Arabidopsis thaliana: one gene and its partners. The main gene of each other region encodes a partner of the protein of the gene in region 4 in a complex. Each region holds a gene or a part of one and is shown on either strand. Other genes may lie near its edges. The genes, in order: CSN6A, FUS5, CSN6B and CSN5B. A codon is read from its position in the direction of its gene.

Region 1 (4,287 bases), on a different chromosome or scaffold from region 4:
TCGACAGACAAGTCACAACTAACAATCAGTCTCCTTTTAGCCGTCCCTTTAGCTTTCAGCCACATTTGGGTCCTCCTTCTGGTTTCTCCTTCGGTTTAGGACAAACCGGTTTGGTTAATCTTTCAATGCCTGGTTTAGCGTATGGTCAAGGGAAAATGCCGGGTTTGCCTCACCCGTATATGACACAACCGGTTGGGATGAGTGAAGCAATGATGCAGAGAGGGATGGAACCAAAGGTTGAACCGGTTTCAGATTCAGGACAATCGGTATATAACCAGATCATGAGTAGATTACCTCAGATTTGAAATTTACTCTTCTTCTTCTTCTTCTGCATTTGGTCACTCCTTATAATAACTTTTAATTTCTGCTTCTTCTTCTTCTTTCATTTATTGGTTTCAAACTTTGGGGAAGGTAAAGGCTGTTTTATTGTTCATTCCTTGGTTTTGTCTTCTTTTTTACTGGTTCTTTATCTTATATTGAAATCAACAAAGAAGAAAAAAGTGAGTGTTGTGTAGCAATACTGCAATTGCTAACTGGAGACTGATGTGGATGTAACTAGAGAGACTGATAGAATCAAACCTTAAAATCTTTTTACTAACAATAGAAACTTGTTCAAGATCAAACAAGAGCTTTGATAGATAAGCAGATGTTCTTATAGATATAGAAACAATGAAGAGGATAAAGTCTTGCCGTCTGAGTTATAGATTCTCACAGAGGCAATGTTAAAAATGGTTTCAGGAACCAAGAGAAGATCTTTAGAACTAGAATCGCTGGAAAGGATCTTTTACATGAATGCAGTTCTTCCACCTCTTCGAGTGTTTCTGTCATATGCGGTGTTGAATTTGTCGACCATCTCGTTCATGTTGCTGCAGATTGAGCAAACAAAATTATTAACTGATATAACAGAATCCACCAGCCCGGTGAAAACCGTATCTTTCACAGTTCCTAAAGAACCACTAGTTAAAGAGCATTCGCTAGCCTATATACTTGCTTTCAAATACTTTAGAATGTTGCATTAGGTACAAACCTGGAACAATTTGTAATCATCGCTAGGTAAGTTATTAGTAATTTGTCGTTGTACTCCTGCAAAAAGAAAAAATGCCAGCATAAGTTGCGAAATATCTCAGACAATAAGCTACACTGAAAAGAATCAAGTGCAGATCTAACTAACTCACCATCAAGAAATTATCTTGAAATCTCTCTGATTCCATGGCAGGCAATCTTCTTAGCAGGCTAGATACTTGTCTCAGAACTGAGTTGTCACAAGATTTATCACCTACACACATAAATGAGTTGGCAGATAAATTATTACACTTACACAACTTTGACTATCTTCAGCTAGAATCCTGGACTGGTAAACATGAAACCACGGTGATAAGAATCGGAACTTGGGAAAGAACAGAATATACCTTTCTGCATTGCAGCAAGATTTTGGTAAAGCACTCTGATTCTGCTATTAAGCATCTTGATGGCACTATGTATACCAGTAAGATGAGCAGCCACTGCATATGAACGAATAATCAGCCAAAAACAGTAAGACTCAGGAAGTGGAGTATGATATGTATTAGTGACATAAGGCTCACACTGGGTTGCTGCTGAGCCTCCGTCAGATGGTTTAAGATGTGCAACATGATCAACTGATATCCGTTCAGCTTCAACTGTCTACATTGTATAACACCTCAAAATCTTAGTCAATGTACACTTTCATAACATAGATTAAATTGCAGAATGTTTGACAAAAAAAAAAAAAATTATTTGCAGAATCAAACTTAAGCACAGACCTCGATTGTGTAGCTTGTATGAGCGAAAATTAGCTGCGGGATTCCATCAATGACATGCAATTCTTCAAGTAATGAAGATCAATCAATGAAACAAAGAGAAAAGTTAGGATCTTGTAAAACAATCTGACCTAAATCTGGAAGTCAATAAAGATAAAGACTTGGGAAGATATCTAGAAACTCTGAACTACGCATATACCTATACTAACATGCTAACATATCAGAATGTACCCACAGAACCATATGACATTATAAGAAGCATACCACTTTCATAAATAGTCACTGGAAGATCCTTCTGTGTGTGATTGATAGCAGGGTTTAAAAGCACATAAACAGGAGATTCATTGATATCCATCAACTGTCACCAAGAGCAGACACAAAAACCACACTTTTAGAGACCAAATCTCAATTATACAAAAATACTAGAGAGAGCATTGGACTCACAGCTTTATGGATATGCATATCAGATTCCTCAGCATCACTTCCCGTAGAGTACCATCCCAGAATATAGAAATCAGGGAACACCTTCTTATCTAATAAACAATAAAACCAGATAAAAGTTCAAACTTTAATTTACGATTGCATCAATAGTTGAGAATAAAAAGAGTGAGCTTTAGCTTACAGAGCTCTTGCTTCTTCTCGAGGAAAGATCTATCAAGGGTTTGAGTAGAAGGATCATATAAAAGCTCGAAACTGTTGAATATCTCAACAGTACGACCTCTCTGGACACCGATCACACATCCGTAAACCCTAGGGTTTTGCTGGAACATTGCTTCGCCGTTGTTTGAGCCATGGCCGCTTGCGCAGATTGAAGCAGGAGGATTGAGCTGAGTTTTGACCCTAGTGTAGTGATCCGATATGTTGACGATTACCAAAGGATGTAGCTTGAAGGTTAAACCGCTTGATGACGAAGGTGCCATTGTCGATCTCTCTCTCCTTTGATGAATTCTTTGGTTTTTGGGTTTTTAGTTTTTTTATGAAGATTTTTTTTATTTAAATCAATGTGGATTCGGATCCTAGATCGGGTCTTCCGGGTCAACTATATGGATATTAGTTTTTTCTGTATGGGCCGAGCGTAGGACTTATATATGCGGTTGGGCCTCATGACTTGTTTTTCCAATTACATTTTTTCATTTTGGAAACTAATTATATTAATTAACAAACGAAAATAAGATAAACCAAACGATTGAGACTCATAAAATCAGATATCTGAAGTTGACAAAAAATGTACTAGAAATTTGAAAACAGACAACATTCATCAAATTTTTCAATATGAAAGTTCAATAGTTCAGTGGTTAGACTAAAGGTTATAATTTTTTCCACAAAATGTTTGATTTCTAGTGTGTAAATTCTTGCAAGTTAATGAAAGGAAAAAAAAATCTAGAGATGCCTAGCATATTGTAACTATTGTTGATGTAGATGAATTTTTTTTTTTTTTTTAGTTATTGATGAAATTAGTGAAGTCATGTTGGTCGTCCAAATGTGTGATATGAGTACAAGAGTAGAATCTACCTTCGTTTGTAACGCATTGCACAATCAATCAAGAAATATAACTAAACCCAGCAAAAATCAAGCAATATAATTTATTTATCTTTGGTATGATCAAGCAAATATAATTCAACACTAATAGGAAACTACAAAATTCAAAAGTGGCAGCAAATCGGACAAAAAGATAAAACATATCTTGATAAAGAAAGATAAAAAAAAACTATATTCACAACAATTCATTTTTAATTACGGATACTGTAAAAAACGGTTTTTTCACAAAAATAAATAACTAAACAAAAATGTGTTGGTGAGCCTAAAAATGTGTGTGGTGTGGATAATATATAAATATTAATTACCAAAATACTATCAAAAAATTTAATAATTTCTTACGAAGCTGTGACCAAACACAACAAACAAAAAAAACACCGCCACGAGACGAGCCAAACTAAAGATTAGGATTTGGGAGGTTGATGATCAATTCCGGACAACGGAGGAAACCATACTGATAGATTCAACGACGGTGATTGCGGCGGAGGAGTAGAAACCCGTTGGAAACATGGCGATGAGAGACCTTGTTAACGGCGGAGCCGCTTGTGCCGTTCCTGGTTCGTCTTCTTCTTCTAATCCTCTCGGAGCTCTCACCAACGCTTTACTTGGTTCGTCTTCCAAAACCCAGGTTAGCTTCCTGATTCCTTTTTGATCGAAACAGTGTTGACATTTGAAGTCTCCTGATTCCATTCTTCGCCTTTTCCTTGGTTCTCCTGGAACTAAGAAGTCGAATTAGATCTCATTTTTCGTTGGGTTTTGTTATTTGCTTGCCAAGTTTCGATTTTTCTTTCCGTAGTGTTAGGGTTTTAGACGTTCTTCGATTATGTCAAGTGATTTGGCTGACAATTGTTTAAAGGTTTAAAATTTCCTGAGAATTTGAAGAAATGTTGATGATTGGTGATTTGTTGTGCAGGAAAGGCTCAAGGAGATACCTAATGCAAACCGGTCAGGTCCTCGGCCACAATTTTACTCT
Region 2 (4,726 bases), about 26 Mb from region 4:
ACAGAAACACCGTTAAGCTTTCAGAACAAGTTTAAATGAAGGTAATTGATCAGTACAACATGAACCCATGTGGCAATACTAGAATATTTTAGTGTCATACTAGTATCCATATTTTGACAAAAATCTCAAAAAAGCTTTACTAATGAAGATGTCGCTGTAACTAGAGTAGTAGAGTACACGTTCTTACCTCCAAATTTCTAATCATTTGATGCCCAAATGCATCATCTGGATGGATCTGCAAACAGAAACCCAACGGGTTAGACACATAAGCAATAAGATTCGTATCTGCAATATTATGCAGACAAGGAAAATCACAGTTGAGCTAACCTGCTCATATAAGAAAAATACTGCAGTTGAAAACGTTTTTGACGACCAATTGACGATGGCACGGCTTGAATCGGGGTCCAGATAAATCAAAACACATTCTGCAATAATAAACGTCGGCAGACTGATAATGATATTAGGGATCAAGTAGGTCTATCACCAGTAAGTATCTGTTACCATATATCTTAAACCCGGGTAGAAGAAGAGGGTTGAAGGTTCAAGATAACAGTGTGTAAAATAAATAAAAATTATTCATGGATACCTTAGATCCATATCTGCAAAGGATATAACATCTCTTAATTTTGGTATATCGCGCAGGTCAACTGGAAGTAACTTGTAATGATCACTGAGAACTTGTCCTTCGTCTGTAGAGATAAACAGCCCAACGAGTTAAGAGTAAGCAACTGAAACTAGACGCTAACGGTACAAAGTAAAAGGGGGTGGTTGAGTTAGTAGCTAGTAGAAGCGGAATGAAGAAAAATATGAGTGCACAAGCTGAAATGCATCATAATGAAAAGGATCATTCTACATAATAATACATGGGGGGAAAAAAGGCTCTTACCAATAGAAATAGATGCATTGGCTCCTAGTTTGTCCCTGAGTTGGCTGGAGTTTTGTATAACAGCAGCCTTCTTGCTAGTCACCTAACGTAAGAAGCAAATCCATTTAGGCATTAGACTCAAAACACATGATGGATACTTTTGTCAGCACGCTCATCCAGTAGTACCTCCTTAAAATCAAGTTCCACATAGAGATTGGGCCCATTCCCCTCATCCTACAAAATGAGAAGAGAAGAAGCGAGAGATCCCTGGAATAAGCCGAAGAATGGTGAATTTGGTAAAAGCTAACAAAAAGGAGAAGAAAAAGAAGACGCACCAGCAACTGAAAATAGGTAGTATCAAAGCCAGCTCCGAGAGACAGTATCTGTTTCTTAGAACTTGTCCCGCTTAGAAGAAACTGAGACATAAGCTTTCGGAAGGCAGCCCAACGGGAAAAGTAACCTCGATTAATGATGGGAGATCTTCGAACAGGTCTTTTCACAAAGAGATGAACATAGTCGTCTTTCATATATCCCTTTTTGACACAAGACCTTTAAAAATATTATCTAGGCTCAAAGATCCACAACAACAACAAAAAAAAAAGAAGAGCCCTAATTAAAGAAGAGAGAAAGAGGTAGGCGTACAATTTACTGGCGGATGCATCGTCGTTAGTAGCCTGAACCGCCGCTCTGTTGCTGCGAGATTCCGCCATCGTCGTCGCTCTCTCAGCCAAAATGAAGGAAGAAGAATATTCAATAGTCTCTCTCTTCCCCGGGATTGTTTGGGCTCACCAGACGCGGTTTCTAATATTTCTCTTAGTAGGCCTTGGCCCAGAAACTACGAAATTTGAGCCCAATTATTAAACAAGATTCTAGAAGAATTCGGTCGGTCACATAAAAAAAACAGTAATATAAAAACGGAAGAAGGAAGGAGCAGAGAGAAGAAGTTTGGGATTTTATTCGTTATTAGTGTGGTAAGAAAGAAAACCCTAAACCACCGGAAATCGATTTGTTTGGAAGATGGATATCGAGCAGAAGCAAGCCGAGATCATTGATCAGCTCGTGAAGCGAGCTTCTACTTGCAAATCCGAGGCTCTGGGCCCGCTCATCATCGAAGCCACATCGCATCCTTCTCTCTTCGCCTTCTCCGAGATTTTGGCTCTACCCAATGTTGCCCAGGTACTACTACTTTATGCTTTTCACGATCTAGGGTTTTACATGCTTTTGTTCTTCGCTGATCATAACAACTTGATAGATACTAGTAGCTGATTAATCGTAATTGTGCAGCTTGAAGGAACCACAGATTCTGTGTACCTGGATCTACTACGCTTGTTTGCCCATGGCACCTGGGGAGACTACAAATGTATGACCCCTTTGTCATATGCTATTTCAATTCGTTTTCCCTTTTGTCATATTCTCTCCTCTTGACTTGCTTTCATCGAAACACTAGGCAATGCCACCCGTCTTCCGCACTTGTCCCCTGACCAAATTCTTAAGCTTAAGCAGCTCACTGTCCTCACCCTTGCTGAGTCTAACAAGGTATATTTGTCTTAGGTTCATGATTTGCTCCTGCTATCTACTCTGTTCCATTATCTTTTTCCCCTGCTGTTTGCCTAACTGAATGTCTCTCTCACTCTGCTTGTTATAGGTATTGCCCTATGATACACTAATGGTCGAGTTAGATGTTTCCAATGTTCGCGAACTCGAGGACTTTCTTATCAATGAATGCATGTATGCGGTGAGTACTCTTTAGCAGTCTTCTAATCTCTATTTGACAACTAACTGTGACAACGCATGGTGCTCATTTTTTTTCTTTTACACTTTGCAGGGTATAGTTAGGGGAAAACTGGATCAGTTAAAAAGATGTTTTGAGGTGTGTTTTGGTTTGGGCCTCCTTTTCCTATTTTAACCATTGTGCTTTGTTTCTAAACGTACGAGCCCCCCCTTCTAAACATCATATATCTCTTGCAACCATGCAGGTTCCGTTTGCAGCTGGTAGGGATCTAAGGCCAGGTCAACTAGGGAATATGTTACACACATTGTCCAACTGGTAGTTTTCTTCTTCCCTTAGATCCAGGATTTTTTGCCTTCTATATCTAATTATAAGAACTTGTACGTGATGTTAGAATACATGGCTAATGACGTCCTACTCTTTTATGTGTTGGCCCAAATTGATGTCTAGGTTGAACACGTCAGAGAATCTGCTCATTTCAATTCAAGACAAGATCAAATGGGCGGACAATATGAGTGAGATGGACAAAAAACATCGTAAGGAAGCAGAAGAAGGGGTGGAAGAAGTGAAGAAGTCTCTGTCCATGAAGGTCAGTCGCGCTTGGAGTCCTATTGGCTTCACTTTTCCCTACTAAGTATATTATGTAACTAATATTGGTTACATTCTTTCTTGGTTACTGTCTTGTGACCATGAGTTAGAGTCCAGTCAGCTATTCTGTCTTATATTTCTTCAGAGAATTGTAGTGGGTTTCTTCTTATTAATAGCTTAGGTCTATGTAAGCGGGGATGGGAGAGACTTGATAAAAAAATCTTTCTAGGTCTTTGAGCTTTCCAAGTCCAGTCCTATCATAGATTAAAAAGTTATGTTTCTTAATAACAAACGAATCGATCAGCCAACTGTGGCGGGCTTTTTTAACCGTTCTTTCGTGGAACAAGAAATCTTACATGTTGGATGTAAACATATATTATGAAGTTTTCTTTAATTAAAAACAAACAAGGAACGCAATCACAACGGCTGTTAGTGAAGTGTTAAAGTCATTAGAGGACATGAATTGTTTGGAATGGTAGTACTTGGTTATTGTCTGATTGTTAAATGAAATGAAACAAGGTTCGTTTGGTTTTTTGTGTCTGAAATATGATTGGGAAGGGTGGTGGTCGATATAGTCTTACTTACGTTGTGGGCAGGGGGATGTTGACATCAGAGGGAATAAGGAGATGTTTGGGGAACCAAGTGGAGTGATGGACTACGAAGAAGATGGGATCCGACCAAAGAGGTAACGAATATTAGATATGAGTGAGATGATAAGTACAAAGGAGATGATATAACATACACACATTCAACTTTGGAACGCAGGAGGAGGCATCCTGTAACAAGGTAGAGGAGCAAGAGAGAGCAAATGGTCAGTGCGGATTGACATTCCATTTACCGAGAGTAGATTATGATTATTTGGTTGCGGATTTTCAACTTGTATAAGATCCTCTGTTCTCTCTCACAATAACCCCTTGTTATGTTTGATTTCCCTCATTAGCAAATTTGGTGTCTCTCTGCCCATTAAAAGAAAAATGGCTTTGAATTTAGTATTCAGTAATCAATAGTCTTGACACTTGAGCAAAGCTAGGCGCTTGGATCATATGGAATGATACAGATATTCTCAGTGTTCCGTCTTTTGACCACTAGCCAGCGCCTTGGCCCCTCACATGTTGAAACCTGCTTAGTCTGCGACAGCTGCCTCTTAGGCGGGCATGAAAGTGTTGTTTATTACGTCATCGACTAGATCCCACCATCGGAATTCTGACCGAAACATGTTCCTGAGAACGTTATACAAAGTACTAGTAGTCTAGTACTATATGATGACAATCCCTGCCGATTTCTCACACTCCCTCAGCATAATCATAATCTCTTTCAGTGTTTATGGTCATGTTTTATGACCATGAAAACACAATCCCCGCCGATTTCTCAAACATGTTTTCACCTAACTAATTCTCAAACAGACCCTTAAGAGCAAGGATAAAGGAATAATAGTGTTTTTTTTTTTTGTAATTAGAAAACATGTTTGTGAATCTTGAAGTTAAATAAATAAACTAAGACTCCTAAAATCTCTCCTACTGTATGTATAATTGTTACAACATAAT
Region 3 (5,124 bases), on a different chromosome or scaffold from region 4:
TCTATGTTTTCAGGAGCTACTATAAATGCACAGCTAATGGATGTACCGTAACGAAGCATGTAGAGAGAGCCTCTGATGACTTCAAGAGCGTACTAACAACTTATATAGGCAAGCACACCCACGTTGTACCAGCAGCACGCAACAGCAGCCACGTCGGTGCAGGCAGTTCAGGGACTCTCCAAGGCAGTTTAGCGACTCAGACCCACAACCACAATGTGCACTATCCAATGCCACACAGTAGATCTGAGGGACTGGCCACAGCCAACTCATCTCTATTTGACTTCCAGTCACACCTGAGGCATCCTACAGGTTTCTCCGTTTACATAGGCCAATCTGAGCTTTCTGATCTTTCAATGCCTGGTCTAACTATTGGGCAAGAGAAGCTTACCAGCCTGCAGGCGCCTGACATTGGGGATCCAACTGGCCTAATGTTGCAGTTAGCAGCACAGCCGAAGGTGGAACCAGTGTCACCACAACAGGGACTTGATTTGTCAGCGAGCTCATTGATATGCAGAGAGATGTTGAGTAGATTACGACAGATATGAAACAAATCTCTTTGTTCACTGATTGCTCAAATTTTTGAATAAATGAAAAATTGAGAGAAGGTAAAAGCTGTTTTGTTTTTACAGTCTTGTCGCAAAATTTAGTTAGGCCTAAACTTAGCTTCTGTCTAGACAAAGCTTAAACAGAAGAAAAGCTTCCTAGCTGTTTGTTTGGTTCCGAAAAGTGAAATGCCTTAAAAGAGTTCTAAATTTTCACTTAGGGACCAGACCACCAAAAGAAAGAAAAGGTTTTTTTACATTGAAACTAATCTTTACATGAACGCAGTCCTACCACCTCTTCGGCTGTGTTTGTCGTATGCAGTGTTGAATTTGTCAACCACCTCGTTCATGTTGCTGCATTTTGGGGGGAAAAAGGAGAGTAAGAGATCAAATATACAAAGGATTCTTTCAGGACATTTCGTTGGAATGAAATTGACATATGGATTGGTCAAGGTGTAGCACAAGATTAGATTTTTTTTTTAAAAAGAAGCTTATATTCCCTTAGCTACTACAGGCTCAGTATCTTAATTATAACAAGGATAATTGAGCAAGGTCCTAGATTTAGTTCTTAATCTAAATAAAACAAACTATCTCAATGTCAGCCTCAACCAAGTACTGGTGATTTCATCTGTCTTGGTATCGTAAAACATTGCATTGTATCAAGCAAAAGATTTGCATGCATGTCCATCATTCTTTTATTCAAATAGTTAAATGGAATAGCGTGTCGAGCACATACCTGGTACAATTCGTGATCATTGCTAGGTAAGACATCAGCAATTTGTCGTTGTACTCCTGCAAAAGAAGAGAACATCATATTTATAAAGATATCATTCACAACAACAAGCTACATTAAGAATTTAAGAGATTCGAAGGCCACTTTATTTAACCAACATTGCTAGAAAAAGGTAAGGTACTACTTACCATCAAGAAATTTTCATTGAACTTCTCTGATTCTGCGGCAGGCAAACTTCTGAGCAGACTAGATACTTGTCTCAGAACTGAGTTCTCACAAGGTTTATCACCTAGATGCAGAATCACATAAGTCATTAGTACCACATTACTCTTGCTCAAAATCATCTTCTAACACCCTTTTAATTCTTTCTTCCCCGTAGGAAAACACATAGAAATATTCTAAGATCAAGGGACAGGTCACAAAAGCTTGATTAACAAATTGAAGAGGGACCGAGAGTGGGGACTTGAGCAAGAATATACCTTTCTGCATAGCGACAATATGCTGGTATAGCACTCTGATTCTGCTATTAAGCATCTTGATGGCACTATGTATTCCAGTAAGATGAGCAGCCACTGCACAAAATCGAGGAATCAACCTAAAATTCCATGCAGATGAAAAAGAAAGAACAGATTATGATAAATATGAAGTGATAATAAAGCTTACACTGAGTCGCAGCTGAGCCTCCATCAGATGGCTTAAGATGTGCAACATGATCAACAGATATTCTTTCAGCTTCAACTGTCTGCACGCGTTTACAATCATTGCAATGTTATTGAAAGTCCACTCTCATATCACATAGATAGATTACAGATCAAGTGGCCTAAACACATACCTCAATTGTGTAGCTGGTATGCACGAAAATCGACTGAGGAATTCCATCAATGACATGAAATTCTTCAAATTTTGAAAACAATCAAAAAGACAGGATTAGCAAGATTATAATCTATAAAACAATAAGACAATCAGTGATGCAAATAACCAATTTTTACCGCTTTCGTAGATAGTCACAGGAAGATCCTTCTGTGCATGATTGATAGCAGGATTTAAAAGAACATACACAGGAGATTCATTAATGTCCATCAGCTGTAGATGAAAACCTCAACAAATCAGTACAATGAGAATCCTAAATTCAATTAAATTTATATTAAACATTAAAGCTACACTACTCACAGCTTTGTGGATATGCATATCAGATTCGGTAGCGTCACTTCCCGTAGAATACCATCCCAATACGTAGAAGTCAGGGAACACCTTCTTATCTAAAAAATAACAAAACTCACAAATTAGCAAGAGTATCAAACAATCGACAACAAAAGTGAGCGAGTGTAAGTAAACTTACAGAGTTCTTGCTTCTTCTCGAGGAAGGATCTGTCGAGAGTATCAAGAGCAGGATCGAATATCAGCTCGAAACTGTTGAAGATCTCAACCGTACGACCTCTCTGGAGACCGATGACGCAGCCATAAACCCTAGGGTTTTGCAGTAACATCGCGTCGGCGTTGTTGGAGCCATTCCCGGTGGCGCAAGAAGCGGCGGGAGGATTAAGCTGAGTTTTAACCCTAGTGAAGTGATCGGATATGTTAAGCATCACCAGAGGATGTAGCTTGAACGTGAGACCGCTCGACGAAGAAGGCGCCATTGTTGTCGCTCTCGATTTTTTCCCGGCGCTTGTCGTTGTCCTCCTTTAGTCCCAAATTCTGAAATCGGATCTTAAACTCGGGTCATGAATCTTTATATAGTCTTGGCCTCTTGGGCTTTCCTTCTAAGTTTAGCCCATATATAACTTTCTTTTGTTAGAAAAATAATGGAAAAGATTATAGCATGTACTTAATTTTTTAGCGTTTTAGTATATATTTATAATTTGAATATAAATCTTTGAAAGAAATATCTATTTTTTTAATATGAAATTTCTTGTATTTTAATGAATTTGAAAAATAATTATGATTGGATTTTGAATCATTTACTTCTTTTTTTTTGGTTTGAGTATATAGAAATAACATAAAGATCATAATGAATTAATTTTATTTAATATTATTGGATATGTTTGTAAGTGTTACTATTAAAATTTTATTATGTGTGTAGTCTGTTTTAATTCTTCTTTTCGTAATATATATATATATATATATATATATTGATATTTTAAACTATTTTTAGTTTATATAACATATCTTTAAATATGTTTCCTATGTTGTAAGTAGTACCTATCAATATTTTACAGAATATTACAGTTTTGTATTCTGAATGCAATCTTTTAAATTAAATTTCATTTAAATTTCATAAAAATAGTTAAGGCTACATTTAAATCTGTATTATTGTTATTTCATTAATTAAAAATATAACTGTATATAGTTTATGAGAAATCCCACATTAAAAGTGGAAATAGAATATGAGTAATATACAGTATATAAACCAAATCTACTCATAAACAATTAGTTTTGAGTTTGGAACCATAAAACTTAATATAGTAAATTGATAAATATGTTATTTTAGATTCTATATATACCATATATAACTCCTAGTCTCCTATGATATATCTGTCATTACATCGTAAATTGCTTATCACTAGCCAGTAGCCACCAGCCGCAGCCTCTGCACCCTTACTCATATCATTAACACATTGCTGGCTTGCAAGGTACAATCTTTAGTTATGTCATTCAAGTCTTCATATTACGGTAGATTTTTCCAACCGTATTGTTCAAACAATTGTATCCGACAATATAATCATGCATGGGATCTCGTCAAACTCTAACGACATGCTTTTTGACTTATGATAACTTTTTTTCTTTTCTTCAGTCAATCTTATCAAGTCATCGTCTACGCTTTTTTCCACCATCGCCTTCACTTTGAAGAAGCGTGAGTGTAGGTAGTGCTATATACTTGTGGGAAATTTGGGAATATGCTCATTTACATTTTTACATGTATAGACATAAATCTTTAGGTTGGATATGTGACATATTATTTATGATTCTTTTTTCAATTTATATAAACTAGTAGACCACGATTTAGTTTTCTCACTGATTAGCAAATGATGGATTTGGTCCGTATTGAAAATAAAAGACATATATATATATATATGTGTGTTCCGTTTTCCTGAAATCAACTGCAAAAAGTTTTCAACAAACGATTAAGAAAAATGAAAGTGACACATTAACACGTTAGATAATGCATTAACAAAATATTCTTTCTTTTCTTTTTTCTTCATTCTTTTTACCTTCGTTTATAGGAGGGAAGAAAATGAACCAGAATTTTGTTGATATTGAAAAACCAATCCGAATAAAGAATCTACGAAATGACACTATACTAAACTCGTTCTATGGTAGAATGTCTTTGCACCCGATAGCAAAAGTTATTGTAGAAAACTATTTTATACCTAAACAATTCACAAACCTCGGAGAAATGATATTGTTGTATATTTAGAAATGTATATCAAAAGAAGAAAATAGTCTTTAGTGGACACTGACAGACAACGACTAGTTTTATATGTAACCATCAGTTCATCTTTCTAGATAAAACCAATGTTAAACGCAACTGCTAATCTCTTCTTCTTTTCTTTTGTCAACCACCAAGGCACCAACTGCTAATCTCTTTAGACTCTAGAGATAGCGAAATATCTTCATTATTTCATAATATACATAACAATTTTATTAATCCTTAATTCAAAATTGCTTGGAAAACACTGATGAAATTAAGCATCTACTAACAGAAAGTTTTGTAAATTTTCAAAAACTTTCTCCTAACGTTCCTCTCGGAAATTGGGGTTATCTATTCTTTAATGCTTTCTGCTGTTGCTTAAAGTAGATGTTTCTTTTTTTCACGCTATAACCCATATAAGTATAATCATATACCAATTA
Region 4 (4,343 bases):
GTATAAATTTATCACGTACATAGTTCCTTCGATGCCGTTCTTTAACCAGTTTCCAAACCCCTTGGTCGGGCACGAACAGCGCGAGAAACAGCCATATGCTATGTTTCTCGCTACATGTCAAATTTGTAGGAAACATATCCGTGCGGAGCTATAGACAATAACTGACTGTTTTCTTGAAGGTTTGGTATCCCCGGACTTCCACGAAGCTCCGGATAACTAAGGCTTTCTAAGATTCTCCGCAATACTACGTCTTCAAGTGTATAAGTTTGCCATGTTGTGTGAAGTGCGTTCTTGATAAGCTTGTTGAAGATGGTCAGGTTGGCAGTACATAGCTCCTTGTGGGCGTCGTCGTCGACAGTCCCATAAGGAACACTTTTCATCAACAAACAAAGACAGAGAAAGATGATTGCCATTGTTAGCCATGTTTTAGTACCACCTATTCACGGACAACGTGAGTGCAGAGAAGGAAAGAGAGAGGGGATAGAGTTGGAAAAGATCACTAGGTTTCTGATTTCCATAAATACAATTTTTGTTTAAGGGCTTAAGATTATTCCTTTAACCCCGACGAATCGAATGGGCTTAAAAACATTTCTTTAACCAAAATCTTCTTCTGTATTATTCTCATTAGCATTATAATTCTTTACACAACAGAAAATAAATGAAAGGACAACAAATGATGGGTCAATCCAAAACTAGAAACCAAAAGAAGAGCAACTTCAATATGTAATCATAGGGTCTGGATCCGACGAGTCAGTGGGAGATTTGTTGTTGGACTGACGCATTGAGTTGAATAATTCATCTTTTATGACCTACAAGTACAACAATGATGGATTTTGAGTCTGTGAAATACACGAACCTTAAGGGAGATATGTCACCATTTCGTTTCAATATTATTACTCACCTGCGACATTAGTCCATGGACCTGTTCCACAGTTATCTTTGCGCTATCCCGAGTTATCTTAGTTAGTTGAGACTCATCCTGAAAGTGATTTAGAACACACGTCAAATGAGATCTTTAACAAGCAACACCCATTAACATTCTCGAAAGTTATATATCTGTACAACCTTCAACAACACTTTCATTTCAACTAAACAGAACACCTCCAGGTCCCAATAACCAAAACATTTGAAGATATATCCTCTTAGTAGCTAGATGTTTACAGAGGCACTTAACTAGCCACCGTAATCGCAATTAAAATTTGATGAACCACTAGGACATACCTCTTTTTTCTTATGAAGGGATGATGGCACAACTCCTCCAAAGCGAGACTGAACCAGATGACTCTCGGCTTGCTCAAGCTTCTCAGCTTCATTGGTAAAATTACGAAAACGATTATATAACACATTACTTGACTGTGACTTGAGAAAAAAAAGTAAGAGTGAATGATTTAGGCCATATCCAAGAGTTTACCTAAGTCTGATATTTGTCCAGCAACATAGTCTCCATTACCCAGCAGTGGAGAAGAAGAAAGAGTGTTCACCCAGTACTTGTTCCATAGTAGATCCAGAAGGTGAGAATCAAGAGATGACTTGAAATAAGTGACATCTAATGAATAGTACTGCCAAAACCAAAAGCCAAACATAAGAATCATGTTGGGACCTTGCACCGAGAAAAATCAAGAAAATGTACCTGTTTGCAGTGAACACCAAAGTCCTCAATCTTATTTAAAGGAATAGTTTGATACTCAGAAACAGGTTCATCTGGAGGCTTATATCCTTTAGAGTATGTTCTGAAAGCACCAATCTCAACCTTACCAGCTGAAACAGTCCTTGTGGGATCAATAACAACAGCTAAAAATGGCTCCTGATGCTGTTGGTTAAGCCTCTGCGTAGAAACATCAATACCGGAGAGCCAGCATCCATATCCAGGGTGAGAGTGATACCATCCAACAACATTCTCCAGCCGCCCCGCCTTATAAAGGTCAAGTTATTATAACCATAATCAATCAAACTGTTCTGACTTATATACAAACTTTCTAAAGAAAAAAATCAAAACTTTGAAGTTTCTTGAATCTCACTTACGAGCTTGTTGGTCTGTGAATACTCAACCATGTACTCATAAGCATCATCCTGAGCATTAACCCTTGTCTCAGTACCTTCCACTGGTAAAGCAAAAGCATCCATAACAATGATAGTATCACCATCGGTCTTACCTTGCATAAGACCCATTATTTCAATTGTACCACCAGAGCGAGCGTGAACCACCATCTTAAGAAGAGCGAGCGCTGAGATCTTGACTCGTTTAAAGTAGTGAGGATCATTCTCCCACGGTTTCTCTTGCTGGAACCTAGTCTGTGAAGTATCGTCGTAGTAGAAGATGTTGTCGGAGGTTGAATCAGGTGAGTCTACTGTTAGAATGCTGTTCTCTAGTTCCCATGTCTTCCTTGCTATCGTCGACGACGAACCCTCCATTCTTTTTCGAATTAGGAATTCAGTTGCAGAAATCTAGGGTTTCATACGGAATCGATGGAGTGTGATCGATCTGTCTGCTGAAGAATTGAAAACTGTGTCAAAAATGTTACTTCGGGGATTGACTTATATATAAGAAGAGAAAAGTGGTGAAAATTAATTCCTCTGGATTCTTCTCTAATTTAGAAATAAAATTTAAAATCCTTTTAGTTTGTTTTTTTTTTTTTTTTTTTGACGGTATTAAAATCTTTTAATTGAATAACACAAAATTTTAAAATCTATTAAACATGATTTACAAAGATATAAACTCCAATAACACTAAATTTTAAAATTGAATTTAAAATCATTAATTAAATAACAGTGTATTAGTGTTGGATTTCTTTCTATTAAAATCCATTAATAAATAACGTCCCCTTGTAAAACCGTAGATTTCTTCCCTCTTCTAAAATAATTTATTGAATTACTTCAGCTTTTCTATCAGAGTGTCAGACCCTTTGCTAAAAGAACACGTATTGCTTTTTATACAGACACTGACACGTCAGTTTTCCGGTTCGGTTTTTTTACTGGTTTGTCGGTTTGGTTTGATTTGAGATTTTGGACGGACGAGTTTACAAATACGTTATGAGTGACTATGTTTGTAATTGATTCAAAATCATATTATACTGATATTCTTATTCTCCTGCAATCTGTTGACTTTATCTTCTGTCTAATTTATGTGAGAGATGTCTAAGAAACTGTAGCTACAAAACTAGAAACCTTATCTAGCAAATGCAAAATAGCCATGATTGTCTAATTTATCTTCTCCTCTTTTGAAACTTCAGGAGCATTGAATTTACAGTTCTGCTTTAGATTCCAAGTCTTGTTCTGTATCTTCAGAGATGTCATTTGATGGAAGAGGATTAGGCTTGTCTGTAGCAGGAGCAGCTACTGGCTCGTTGAGTTCCACATCTTCACCCAAGATTTTTGCTGTGAATTTTCGTGCTTCGAGATCAAGATCGGGCCATTCGGTTACGATTCTTCGGGCACCCTGCAGAAGAACACCGCATTATAACAAACAACGCTTTGTGAGTGTTGTAGATATGAGGAAAGCCATCATTTTACCTGAAGCTTTGGTTCCTTTGTCATGGGATTATTGCAAAGATCGATTGTTCTGGCCTTGGCTTTTGTGGCGTTTCCACACCAGGATTCACACCACAACCACTCTTGGGGAAGTGAAAATATAGGAACAGTATGCTGAGCATAATTAGGAAGATCCTGAAACAAAATAATGACATGCCATCAATATGTTTGAACCTGGAACTCTAAAGATTCAGAGCATGGTGTATGGTAAGAGTCAAATGCAAAAGCCTTTCAAATAAAGTAAAACGATAGTGTGACCACCAAAGAAAGGTTACAGCCCTAAGTATAGAGAACCATATTATACAACTTGCCTGATCTAGGTTGGACAAACTGTTTGGATCCTTGCTAAGCGTCTCATAGAATACTCTTAGATTATCTCCTGCCGCTGTCTCTCGGAACTTAACCAAGTCAACAACGTATAGAGCACTACAGATAGAACAAGGCACATTAAGAATGGGAAAAGCAACAACTTACTGAGGTTCAAGTAGGTTTTTTTACCTGATATGGTATGGCCTACCACGTAAATGTTCTTTCCAGAAACCCTGTTCAAAGCAATTGAGAATGTAAGAGTATGGAAACCAAAACTACCTCTACAAGCAAAACAAAAAGATTAATGTTTACCTGTTTCCAAAATTTATAGCCATCCATTTCCCTGTTGTTGTCACAAAAAGGAGTATACGCGAGAGGTCTTCCTTTAATATCCATATCATACAGTTCTCCCATGTCTGTCCTTATAATTTGATCTGCGTCGACAAATATAACCTACAGAACACATGTCGAATACCTTATAGTGACATCTTCCAAGCATCAAAATC

The links.
Region 1: CSN5B (region 4) and CSN6A share a complex: the UniProt entries of both Arabidopsis thaliana proteins name them as parts of the CSN complex.
Region 2: CSN5B (region 4) and FUS5 share a complex: the UniProt entries of both Arabidopsis thaliana proteins name them as parts of the CSN complex.
Region 3: the proteins of CSN5B (region 4) and CSN6B are in contact, whole or in part, in a cryo-EM structure (PDB 9IS6), measured with the Arabidopsis thaliana proteins. Residues at the interface, in NP_177279.1 of Arabidopsis thaliana: Asp30 (codon at 2,325), Phe33 (codon at 2,316), Tyr34 (codon at 2,313), Tyr35 (codon at 2,310), Ala63 (codon at 2,226), Leu64 (codon at 2,223), Leu66 (codon at 2,217), Leu67 (codon at 2,214), Lys68 (codon at 2,211), Val70 (codon at 2,205), Val71 (codon at 2,202), Arg74 (codon at 2,193), Asp98 (codon at 2,121), Ala101 (codon at 2,112), Leu102 (codon at 2,109), Pro103 (codon at 2,106), Tyr120 (codon at 2,055), Glu123 (codon at 2,046), Tyr124 (codon at 2,043), Thr127 (codon at 2,034), Asn128 (codon at 2,031), Leu130 (codon at 2,025), Ala131 (codon at 1,912), Gly132 (codon at 1,909), Arg133 (codon at 1,906), Leu134 (codon at 1,903), Thr179 (codon at 1,768), Val180 (codon at 1,765), Gly183 (codon at 1,756), Lys184 (codon at 1,753); in NP_567746.1 of Arabidopsis thaliana: Pro15 (codon at 2,870), Leu16 (codon at 2,867), Met18 (codon at 2,861), Leu19 (codon at 2,858), Asn20 (codon at 2,855), Ser22 (codon at 2,849), Asp23 (codon at 2,846), His24 (codon at 2,843), Phe25 (codon at 2,840), Thr26 (codon at 2,837), Arg27 (codon at 2,834), Thr30 (codon at 2,825), Gln31 (codon at 2,822), Pro35 (codon at 2,810), Glu78 (codon at 2,681), Ile80 (codon at 2,675), Phe92 (codon at 2,639), Lys95 (codon at 2,630), Lys96 (codon at 2,627), Leu99 (codon at 2,618), Tyr100 (codon at 2,615), Lys102 (codon at 2,529), Val103 (codon at 2,526), Pro144 (codon at 2,316), Ile146 (codon at 2,310), Asn147 (codon at 2,307), Gln150 (codon at 2,298), Lys151 (codon at 2,295), Asp152 (codon at 2,292), Leu153 (codon at 2,289).

The regions. Positions count from the first base shown.
Region 1 is NC_003076.8:22,782,833-22,787,119, forward strand, and holds CSN6A (COP9 signalosome subunit 6A), read right to left. Parts: upstream 2,774-4,287; 5' UTR 2,699-2,773; coding exon 2,401-2,698; intron 2,312-2,400; coding exon 2,223-2,311; intron 2,137-2,222; coding exon 2,043-2,136; intron 1,844-2,042; coding exon 1,782-1,843; intron 1,663-1,781; coding exon 1,584-1,662; intron 1,503-1,583; coding exon 1,410-1,502; intron 1,277-1,409; coding exon 1,176-1,276; intron 1,084-1,175; coding exon 1,028-1,083; intron 867-1,027; coding exon 785-866; 3' UTR 552-784; downstream 1-551. Other genes in the region: WRKY2 (WRKY DNA-binding protein 2), read left to right, coding at 1-305; PEX5 (peroxin 5), read left to right, coding at 3,823-3,942, 4,228-4,287. UniProt on the Arabidopsis thaliana protein: Component of the COP9 signalosome complex (CSN), a complex involved in various cellular and developmental processes such as photomorphogenesis and auxin and jasmonate responses.
Region 2 is NC_003070.9:386,725-391,450, reverse strand, and holds FUS5 (Proteasome component (PCI) domain protein), read left to right. Parts: upstream 1-1,642; 5' UTR 1,643-1,882; coding exon 1,883-2,041; intron 2,042-2,149; coding exon 2,150-2,225; intron 2,226-2,312; coding exon 2,313-2,401; intron 2,402-2,510; coding exon 2,511-2,600; intron 2,601-2,690; coding exon 2,691-2,735; intron 2,736-2,841; coding exon 2,842-2,912; intron 2,913-3,044; coding exon 3,045-3,183; coding exon of another isoform or gene 3,184-3,228; exon of another isoform or gene 3,229-3,778; coding exon 3,779-3,867; intron 3,868-3,947; coding exon 3,948-3,972; 3' UTR 3,973-4,174; downstream 4,175-4,726. Other genes in the region: SBI1 (Leucine carboxyl methyltransferase), read right to left, coding at 188-235, 328-448, 587-689, 887-968, 1,052-1,099, 1,201-1,414, 1,508-1,575. UniProt on the Arabidopsis thaliana protein: Component of the COP9 signalosome complex (CSN), a complex involved in various cellular and developmental processes such as photomorphogenesis and auxin and jasmonate responses.
Region 3 is NC_003075.7:13,353,017-13,358,140, reverse strand, and holds CSN6B (COP9 signalosome subunit 6B), read right to left. Parts: upstream 3,150-5,124; 5' UTR 2,913-3,149; coding exon 2,615-2,912; intron 2,535-2,614; coding exon 2,446-2,534; intron 2,359-2,445; coding exon 2,265-2,358; intron 2,170-2,264; coding exon 2,108-2,169; intron 2,018-2,107; coding exon 1,939-2,017; intron 1,848-1,938; coding exon 1,755-1,847; intron 1,565-1,754; coding exon 1,464-1,564; intron 1,335-1,463; coding exon 1,279-1,334; intron 897-1,278; coding exon 815-896; 3' UTR 546-814; downstream 1-545. Other genes in the region: WRKY34 (WRKY DNA-binding protein 34), read left to right, coding at 14-545. UniProt on the Arabidopsis thaliana protein: Component of the COP9 signalosome complex (CSN), a complex involved in various cellular and developmental processes such as photomorphogenesis and auxin and jasmonate responses.
Region 4 is NC_003070.9:26,850,629-26,854,971, reverse strand, and holds CSN5B (COP9-signalosome 5B), read right to left. Parts: upstream 2,567-4,343; 5' UTR 2,413-2,566; coding exon 2,023-2,412; intron 1,913-2,022; coding exon 1,631-1,912; intron 1,560-1,630; coding exon 1,412-1,559; intron 1,308-1,411; coding exon 1,222-1,307; intron 980-1,221; coding exon 902-979; intron 810-901; coding exon 717-809; 3' UTR 553-716; downstream 1-552. Other genes in the region: AT1G71235 (uncharacterized protein), read right to left, coding at 167-413; EBS1 (EMS-MUTAGENIZED BRI1 SUPPRESSOR 1), read right to left, coding at 3,242-3,436, 3,511-3,663, 3,840-3,954, 4,027-4,070, 4,150-4,290. UniProt on the Arabidopsis thaliana protein: Probable protease subunit of the COP9 signalosome complex (CSN), a complex involved in various cellular and developmental processes such as photomorphogenesis and auxin and jasmonate responses.